Linked DNA regions of Drosophila melanogaster. The protein of the gene in region 2 purifies or fractionates together with the protein of the main gene of each other region. This does not show direct contact. Each region holds a gene or a part of one and is shown on either strand. Other genes may lie near its edges. The genes, in order: Rab1 and temp.

Region 1 (5,556 bases), on a different chromosome or scaffold from region 2:
ACTTCAATAATTTTACAAATCTGTCGGAGGGAATGTAAGCTTGCCCAAATCAAATGGAAGCTACAATCGTTGTCAGATGGAGATATTTTATGTTAGAAGGAATATCTCGGATACGAAATATTTAATTTAAAATTCCTTTTCATATTATTCTTTTTAAAAAATAATAAGTCCTGTATGTATACAATGCAATACATAAAGGTAGAGTATGTCCTAAAAAGAAAAATATCTTTCCGAATATATGTATATAATTTATAAAATAAGTGGATACATACATTTTTCGTAAGTATCCTAGAAGATTTGCCAACGTATCAGGTTTACAAAAATTGATTACCTATGTGCAGTTAACTTAACGGCAGTGCACTAACTAATCTGATTTGTGAAATAATGCAGATATAAAACATTTTTAAATAGAAATATATTTATACATCTGATTCTTCAACATCTAAGCACTCGTATAGAGTGCTTTGAATATATTCTAAATACATTGGCATGATCCAAGTTTTAAATCAGCCAAAAACTTGCTCCAAAAACAGGAAGATTCTACACAAATCGCCTCGCCCTTAAAGTTTCTGCCAAGTATTTGGGTGCGTGCGGATCAGTTCCGGCCTTCACTTAAGTTTTGCAATCTTTCCAAAGTCAAGAAATAAAACAAGTCGTTTGTAGGCATCGGTACAGATCGATTTTATTAGACTCAGGTCAAATTAAGATTCAAATTCGGGCGACAGTAAAAACCGAAACTAAAGTGTGTCCTTGATCCCAAACCTTGCAATTTAAATACGCACACGCAATAATTTTTATTAAACTTCATCGCTATGTCGTCATTATTACACTAATTATGTGCCTAAACAAATCCCTTGTGTCACACGATAATTCAAACACACAATCGCTCGACGTTAAATCTAAAAATGTTCGTTCGGTTTTGGGTTCGATTTACATAAAATTTCAAGTGACGATCACGTTCGCTAGAGATAATATGTTTAGAAAATTGTATTTGTAATTTAAACACATACATATGTATACATAGTGGTAAGTAGTAGCTGACACAGGACAAGTACAATTGCTCCTGCCGTCGCCTGCGCTCAATTAATGTGTAGTTAATAGTACATATTAGTTTCGGTATGGTTTCGCGCTGCTGTGATAGGTAACTTCTTATTGTAGGTTAAAGTAATATTAGGTTAATTGCTACACCGAATTTGCTTGCTTTGCACTACTTATGAACAGAACTGCGGAAATCAGAGTGACGGTTAGTATTAGGATCGATGTCCTTGTTGCTCGAGTTTAGTTGGGGATGTCTGAAGTCTGGATCGGGATCTGGATCTGGAGCTGGTTGGCTACGTACCTAATACATATTTGCTTAAATTGTTTATCGAATTGGATCACGGTTAGGATCATACAAACGCACTACTCGTCATTCCTCACCATTATTGTTATTACAGAATTAGTTATTATAATTACGATTTCGTGGATCCGCCATCGGTTTCGCTTGTTTTATTATTATTGTGTGGTTTCCGTTTTAATTTATTATATTTAAATTTTGTTTAATTGTATAATAAAATAATGATTCACAATCAGAGTTATTCAGCAGCAACCGGATTTGGTGTTTTCCACTGGACGTCCTTGATCGATTTTCACTTTGCTAGCGTTGTCAGTGGCGCTGGACGGCGGCCCGACGCGATTCTTGATCTCCGCCGCCATCGTCATGAAGGCCTGCTCAACGTTGGTGGCGCTCTTGGCCGAAGTTTCAAGGAATGGAATGCCTAACTGGGCGGCGTACTCCTGGAATTTTGGAAACAAAGACCCAGATTAGTATATACGTGCATCTATGATTCCCAGGACTAAACCAGCAATATACGCACCGCAGCTGTGGTGTGGTCGACTACTTTCTTGGTGGTCAAGTCGCTCTTGTTGCCAACCAGCAACTTGTTGACATTCTCACAGGCATACCGCTCGATCTCCTCCAGCCACTGCTTCACATTGTTGAAAGACTCCTGGTCCGTGCAATCGTATACGACAATGATGCCATGGGCGCCCCTATAATATGAAGACGTGATGGTGCGGAAGCGCTCCTGGCCAGCAGTATCCCACTGTAAACAGACTAATTAGCTCTGGACTAGATTGCCTCTGGCGTTTTTATGCTTACGATTTGCAGTTTAATGGTCTTTCCGTCGAGTTCTATAGTCCTGATTTTCTGCAAGATAAAGGTTTATGAGTCAGACATAAAGAATTTTCACAAATTTCCGGTTGGCTTACGAAATCCACTCCGATTGTGCTGATATAACTTTCTGTATATGTGTCATCGGCAAATCGCAACAGAAGACAGGACTTTCCAACGCCCGAGTCTCCAATAAGCAGCAACTTAAAGAGATAATCGCTGTGGATTTGGAGATAGTTAATATAGTTAATGTTATAAAATAGTTATATAGTTAATAAATTATAGTTAATTTAATAGTTAATGATATAAATTTGTGCTGCGATGTGGGAATAGTTCAGACCCTATGCTGAAACATATAAAACTTCAGAGAAATCTAAATAAAACTGATGATGCATATTTGCGATAGTGATATTACAAGACGAAATGTTTAAAATCAGAGTGTAAAAGGTTTAGTATACATTTAAAGGGAAATAAGTTGGATGACAATCAGTTAGAAATCATTGATTCAAGCAAAACATTTAGAGAGGTGTTTTGCGGGCATAGTTTAGTCGGGCAGATACTAATATATACATAAAACCGGTTTGGTTTAGGCTTTATCTTATCATGCTATGTCCAACATCAACCCCCAATTGCTGAATGATATGCGATAGTGTTCCAATCCTCTGCACACATGTATGCTGGCTATTGAAGGAGGCTTTCTGGAGAGTGCGAACCAAGATCGGTTCAGATTTAATTGCCTTGAGTGAGAGCGGCAATTAAGTAGCACTGGAATGGCCTTTGATTACGTAGCACTGCGCTGGGGGTGGGAAAGGCTCTCCACGCAGGTGACTCATCCGCCCGACTAGCGATTTGGCCCGTCAACTGGGATCTCGCTGTATATATGTGTGGACTTTATACATATGCAGATTCCGATGAGAGTTTCGAACGCGCTTTTCATCGCCTCGCCCGTGGGCACTACATTGAAATCCAGCTGAAACACACAGTTTTGGTTATGGTTTCTCGATTGGGTCGGTTGTTAGGTCCGAGTGTGTATTTTGTTTTTAGCAAATGGTCTGTTTTTTTGGAGTTGCCAACGAGGGCAAAAGGGAGTGGAGTGGGGCTGCTCGATAATGAATGGGAATGAAACGTAGCAGAAATGACGTCGCAGAAAAAATAAAAGAAACTATTTTCGAAGGCCAGAAAAGGAAGTGGAAGCCCAGTCACTGTTTTAACTCCAGATAACTGCGCATAATTACGTGTGACGACTTACTATTCCGGATTCACAGATGACATTTTCTGGCTTTTTCACAAGATTATATATTTGCCACGAACAAATATTCGATTTCTGGCCCTGGACTGGCTGCTGTTCAGAGTGTTTTTATTTGATTTGCGCGTTCCGAAATACTGGAAATCGACACGCACTCGGCTTGTGTTGTGTTTTGCAGTTCGCTATTGTAATTATTGCAGCGAATTTAAATGGGAAATACGTTTATTTCCACAAATTCGACGGCCGAGAACGAGAACAATGGCGACTGAAAAAATGACGAAGTGGCATTAGCGGCAGTGTTGGAAAATGCGCGGGGCCCTCTTCCAACCAGGGCTACACATTATCTTGTCTACGGAGGTGAGTGGGCGGAACCAGAGAAGAAAATATATGGATTATCGCCAAATGACCCCTAACACACCCCATATAAAAACAAAAATACTTAACTTTTGCATACAATCTCTTATGGTACATCATTTGTTTCTAAACACGGCCTTTAACATTTGAGTGTTTGCATAGAGAACACATTAAAGATAATAATAATAATACGCGTAATAGTATATGAAAGAAGATTCGATAGGCGGGTGTAGCGCCTGGGGGAATGCATCTGGCAGATCCGATATACATATGTATGAATTGGGCCGCTACTCCAGCGAATTTAGCGTGAGCAGCTGCTTGAGCACCTTCGTCTGCGAGGTCTCCCGGATCTCGCCCGCCAGGAACATCTCGTCCACCACACTGTACACCTTGTAGAAGTTGAAGACCAGATCCAGCTCGCACACATTATGGAAGTATTCGTTGAGCACCTCCACGAAGTTGTGAATGGCCTCCAGATAGCACAGGTTGTTGTCGTTTACGTCCACGCAGATGCAGAAGTACAGACCCGCATAGCGTCGGTAGACGATCTTGAAGTTGCGGAACTACAAAGGCAAAAGTGTGATAAAAGGGTGATTCAAAAGAACATATGGACTCGATCCCACCTCCACAAAGTTGGTGTGCTTGGCATCGCGCACTGTGACCACGGCATGCACCTCCTCAATCAGTTTCTGCTTCTCGTCGTCATCGAAGTTCATATACCACTTGGCCAGGCGAGTTTTTCCAGCTCGGTTTTGTATAAGTATGAATCGTATCTGGGCGAATGGAAGGTCAAATAGGGGTCTAAGCTTATAGCTGGCTAGTTGCTTACCATTTTTCGGGAAATTGGTTAAACCGTTTCCTGCTTATTTACAACTTTTTTTGTTTCGAGAATGGGGGCGAAAAACTGATTATGAGCAAATTGTGTATCACTGGGACCAGGGCTACCACTACTGTTCCGGAACAGCTGTTACCTCGTCAGTGTTGCAAACAGTTCGCGCAGAAAGCAAACGAGTTGGCAGACCCGCGCGCTGTATTACGAAGTTTCACTTTCATATTTGTTTTGGCCACCACTCCAAACTAGTCATTTACCAAAAATGTTGGCCTCTCGCTTGAATCTCCTGTTGCCCCGCGTATCCTGGCTGCGCGGTTGCTCAACGACAGCGGTGGGCCAGAAACATCAGCGCCAGGTGCCCACGGAGTTCGCCGTACACGATCCTCTGCAGGCTCACGCTCTAAAGGAACAGTGCATCCTGGTTGACGCCAACGACCAAGCCATTGGGGCCGCCTCTAAGGCAGACTGCCACCGTGTGCATCCAGAGACGAATGATGTTAAGCTCCATCGCGCCTTCAGTGTTTTTCTCTTCAATTCTCAGGGAGAGATGCTAGTGCAGAAGCGATCGTCTCACAAGGTGAAATTAAAGGGTAATCCCCTTATTACAAGGTCCATAATCCTCTGTATCCTTAGATAACCTTCCCAAACACCTACACCAACGCGTGCTGCAGCCATCCGCTTTACGAAATCGAACAGGAACGTCAGGAGCGCAACGCACAGGGCATCCGTGTGGCCGCTCAACGACGTCTCAACTACGAACTGGGCATTCCCACAGAGGAACTGCAGCCACAGGACTTTCGCTACCTGACCCGCATCCACTACGCAGACACGGGCGACGGCGTGTGGGGCGAGCACGAGATAGACTACATCCTGTTCCTGCAAAAAGACGTGACGCTGCGTCCAAATAGCAACGAGGTCAGTGAGGTGCGCTACTTGCGCCGCGATAAGATCGACGAGGCGGTGGCGAAGTTT
Region 2 (4,772 bases):
ATGAATATTTTAAAACCAAACAAAGACGGGCACAGAAAAGCGCACACACACTCTCGATGCAATGCTCCCTTGAAATCCTCTTGGCCTGTACACATGTATCCACAAACGGAACCCCGTTCAGCAAACTAAAAAAAAAAATCGAATAATATACTTTGTTTATTACTTTTGATTTCTCGGTTGACTGGAATGCACTTTTTTTCGACGAGTCGGAAACAAATTGTTTGTAAGCCTTCAAAGAAGCCAGCACTTTCGCCACTCAACACTCCACAAAACACCGCCGCACGCGAACTGCTCCAGAAACACACTGAAAAGCTGGTAGGGATTACGGCCTGGCGATTCTGAGTCCGCTGCTGAAATTGTTGTCATCTCAGGCCTTCGGCAGCATCTCGCACATCCCACCTCGCATCCCAGGCATGCGCAATCGATACTCGTTACCCCACAATCCCCAGTTCACTCGGGGAAGGGATGGGATGTCATGGCTGTGGCTGCACCGCCACAAAACGATACCATCCCATATTACAACTGCTCTGCGCAAAAGAAACCCCCATACAATGCATTTTGAGTGCTCATTACGGCCATTACCGAATCGATATTCTCGAAATGAACGAGCCGAACTGGCTCGACGTTCAAAACTGCATAAAAAAGGCGTCGTCTATGATTTGGATTTATTTAAAAACTAACTGCAATTGGCTAACAACAAACACGTGCATGGCATGGCGATAATCGGTTAAGTTTTACTTCTGAACAAAGGGCTAACAAATCGTGCCCGGATCAGATTAAGAACAGAAACGAACAGGTAACGCTAATAGATATCGAAATGCAATTGGCGGACCAGTGAGATCCGTTGTCATATCGGGCTAGTTGAACTTTGTCTTTGGATCGCACATTTATAGTAGAGTAGAATAGAGGCATTTCCGTTTCCAAATCCGTTTTGAATCGTCTTCCTTTCTAGTATTTTACTCTTTAACAATTTGTCTTGCACAAGTTTCTGTATTTTTGGGACGATAATTAGATAGGAAATAAAACACACGTCTTTATACACTTGCCACATTTCAGAACGGATGGGCAAACGGAAAGGCCGGGAGTGAGTAATTCTATTGGGGTAGATTGATTTGAGCTTTATCAGGTCGCGCTGTCTAGTCCGCTGGATATCCAAAGCTGAGGTGAAGATTGCACCACCGCCGGTGCTTACCACCCAGGGTGGACTCCTCGCGCCGTACGGCACTTAAAAACGGATTATCTTCAAAGTCAAAGTTGCCCAAATGCGAACGCAGATCGCCTGACGCCACTGGTAACAGTTGGCCATTGGGCAAGCCCATTTGCAGGCGCACGCACTGCTCCACGATGAACTTGAGTGCCGCACGGCGATGCAGCTCGAAGCAATCCCGCGATCCGTACATCAAGCGCTGCTCGGCACACAGACGCATATCGTTGGCGGCAACGTTGCAGCAGTAAAGAAATGATATTAGCCTTTGCTTGCTCACGGAACTCAGATCCACATGTGGTAGCAAGAGACCCAGCAGATCCTCAGCGTTGGCTTCACATTCCAGGCCATAGCTTGTCATTAGATGCTGCAGACTGGCCAACGTAGACGAACCACTGGCTCCGGAATCCTTGGGAAGGGCAAAACTGAGCTCATATGCACGACTCAGGAGCACTTGGCGGTAGTGGTAGCAGCTGTAGTCACTGATGTGCTTCCGCATAAACTTCTCCGTGCGTAGCAGTTCCGATTGCAGCAGGCATGGGCCGTTCTGAAGGATCCACTGGCGGTGCGACCAGGCGTGATAGTTGCTGGCGCATCTATCGGCGGCCCTTTCGCATATCCCGATCTCATTGGGCCAGTCAATAGCATCGGCACCTGGAAATAATGGAATGAAATGGGATCCCCAGTTGCCGACGTCCACTTACTTTGAAATGAGTACAGCCAACGGCGGTAGGCGAATGCTTCATTGGACTTCGGTTTGATTGAGAGCACGAGTGCGGAGAACTGCAGCTCCTTGTTGATGCTCAGCCGATTCTTTTGCACCAGCTGACGGCGGATGTGCCAAAAGGTGGTCACATCGGGATTAATCAGCAGAGCCACGTTTAGGTATTTGGCCAGGGAGTCGCTCTGCTGCTGCTGCTGCAGCGTCCGCAGCTGTTGCGCCGTGGTTTGACGGCGATGGGAGATGAGGGTGCGGTGGGCGTGGTCGTAGACATGCTGGGCACACCACGATTCCAGGCCCAGATTGTGCTCCACATGCACAACCGGCGATTTGTTGCAGTTGGCTTCTTTGGGTATAATTTCAAAGGAGGCGCTGGTGGAGAAAAGAACAATATATTCGGACATCAAGGCTTGCTTTCATTGCTAACAGTCTGATTAGATCTATAGTAGAACTAAATGCTGGACTCACAGATCCTGATCCTTGAGGAACACCGCATTGATGTCCCTGATGATCTTCTCGCAGAGCACCTTTTTCTCGTTGCGTTCCTCCTCCATGGAATTTGAGTATAGTCCGAACGTGGAATTTCAATGGGGATGTGGTTTTTGCTTCCTCGGGGATCTCGCTTCCGTTCCGTTCGATTCGAGGGTCTCAGGCACATTGATTGCCTCCAATTAATATGAACATGCTCAATGTCTCCGGTTAATTAAGATTTGGAAAGGGGAGGAAGAGGAGAAGATGGCGGAGGCTGGAACCCTGTCTACGCGACTATGGAACCCCCAAAGGCGGCCGCATCACAACAAATAAATTTCAATTAAGCCGGGGCCTGGACACGAGATCTAGCCTTTATTATTATTATTATTTCAGTGCCCAGTGCGAGGGGCTGTCAATCTGGTTCACCCCAAAGCGCGGTTCTCCGGCGGATCGGTCCGCAAGCTCGGAAATGTGTTCCCTTTTTTTGGCGACGGTGAGCATATGTTTGTTTGCAAACATGTGTTTGGTGTGCACAACAACAGAGGAGGCACTTGCCACGATAACCTACTAACCGCGACGTCAGAACCAACTGTCGGGAAAATGGCTATTGAAAGCAGGCATTAGCTGGGACATTAGAATTTTTCAATTTTTTTTTCCTTTTTTCTACAGTCAGTATTATCAGTACATTTGCTACATTCATATATTTTTTCAGTATTAACGGAATTATTTCTTAAGTATATGCGTTTAATAAACAGTTGATAGCAGAATGATTAAGATATTTAAGAAAATTTATTGAATTCAATGAGCACCTCCGTATTTGTGTGCACGCGGATTTGGCTAAAAACCAAAATGTTTGCCACCACTGTTACATTCCGCTGGTCACACTCTTCCCATCTAACACGTGCGCGCCCGAAAGAGATTTAGTAGAAATACACAGACAGGATGCAGAACTCCTTTCTTCCACTGAACACACGGCGTTTTCGACAGCGGGCCCAGGTGGAAACGCCGGATACGGTGTACTGGGACCGACTGGCGGTGAGTTGTATAGGACTAGGCAGAGAGGCTCGGCAACCAAATCATTGTTTCCCCTCTGCATTCCACAGAAACCAGAACTACTCAAGGAGCACAACACCATCGATTATTTGGACTTCAGTCCAAGCGATCCTGACAACTTTGTTGTGACCTGTTCGGTGCGCGTTCAGATTTACAACCTGGTGACCATGCTTGTGGTAAAGAACCTTTCCCGATTCCAAAAGACCGCATACGGCGCCACCTTCCGGCAGGATGGTCGACTCCTGGCCGCCGGCGACGAGGAGGGCCATGTCAAGCTATTCGACACCACCAGTCGCAACATCTTGCGTTTGTTCAAGGGACACACGGCACCAGTACACCGCACCTTCTTTACGGCGGACAAGCTGCAGCTAGCCAGTTTTGGAGACGACAAGTCGGTCCGTCTGTGGGACGTGGCAAACGAGAAGGTGGTGCAAACGTACGAGGACACGCACACCGACTACGTTCGTGCAGGCGCCATGCATCCGCAGGCAGGGCATATGTTCGTCTCCGGCGGCTACGATGGCAAGATCAAACTGTACGATACGAGAGCGGAAACGGCGGTGCAGCGCACCTTAGATCACGGAGCTCCGGTGGAGTCCATGTTGTTCCTTCCGAACGGCTCTATTTTCGTCAGCGCCGGCGGCAGCCAGGTGCGCGTATGGGATCTCATCAGCGGCTGCCGTCTGCTCACCATGATGTCGCAGCATCACAAAACAGTAACTTGTCTGCGACTGGGATCCGATGGCAGGAGATTGCTCTCAGGCGGGCTCGATAGGCACGTGAAAATCTACGATGTGAGCACCTACAAAACAGTGCACACATTGACTTATCCCAATGCGGTGGTCAGCATGGCTGTTGCTGACGGAGATCAAGCAGTTGTGGCTGGAATGGTCGATGGTCTAGTCTCCATTCGTCGCATGATGGTAGACAGCAAGCCCAGTCATTTGAAAAAGATTCGTGCGGATCGCGCTCGAAAGTACTTCGTGAGTACGAAACGCACGAACAACACCCAAGAGGTTGATCACACCATCAAGGACCACGTCAAGGGGCCTGGATTGAAATCCTACGATGTGCACTTGCGCCAGTTTAACCACAAGAAGGCTTTGGACGACGTGATGAATGCGCAGAAGATGCAATACCAGCCGGAGCTCATTGTGGCTGTCATCACGGACCTTCTGCACCGTGGATCACTGGGAAAAGCCCTCACGGGTCGTCATGAGGCAGCGCTTGTCCGATTCATCGACTTCATTTGCAACCACTTGGGCGAGGTGCGATTCATGCGCCCGCTGATGATGGCCGCGAGCACGGTCCTTGATGTCTTCG

The links.
Region 1: the proteins of temp (region 2) and Rab1 purify together in Drosophila melanogaster (affinity purification with western blotting, with the first as the bait; one study listed by BioGRID). This does not show direct contact.

Annotation. Positions count from the first base shown.
Region 1 is NT_033777.3:21,265,370-21,270,925, forward strand, and holds Rab1 (Rab1), read right to left. Parts: upstream 3,692-5,556; 5' UTR 3,425-3,691; coding exon 3,402-3,424; intron 2,426-3,401; exon of another isoform or gene 2,372-2,425; coding exon 2,251-2,371; exon of another isoform or gene 2,189-2,250; coding exon 2,141-2,188; exon of another isoform or gene 2,085-2,140; coding exon 1,857-2,084; exon of another isoform or gene 1,777-1,856; coding exon 1,579-1,776; 3' UTR 660-1,578; downstream 1-659. Other genes in the region: AP-2sigma (adaptor protein complex 2, sigma subunit), read right to left, coding at 4,040-4,315, 4,376-4,525, 4,582-4,584; Idi (Isopentenyl-diphosphate delta isomerase), read left to right, coding at 4,847-5,161, 5,218-5,556.
Region 2 is NC_004354.4:2,259,558-2,264,329, forward strand, and holds temp (tempura), read right to left. Parts: upstream 2,959-4,772; 5' UTR 2,480-2,958; coding exon 2,394-2,479; intron 2,298-2,393; coding exon 1,909-2,297; intron 1,859-1,908; coding exon 1,137-1,858; 3' UTR 650-1,136; downstream 1-649. Other genes in the region: CG3071 (uncharacterized protein), read left to right, coding at 3,339-3,431, 3,500-4,772.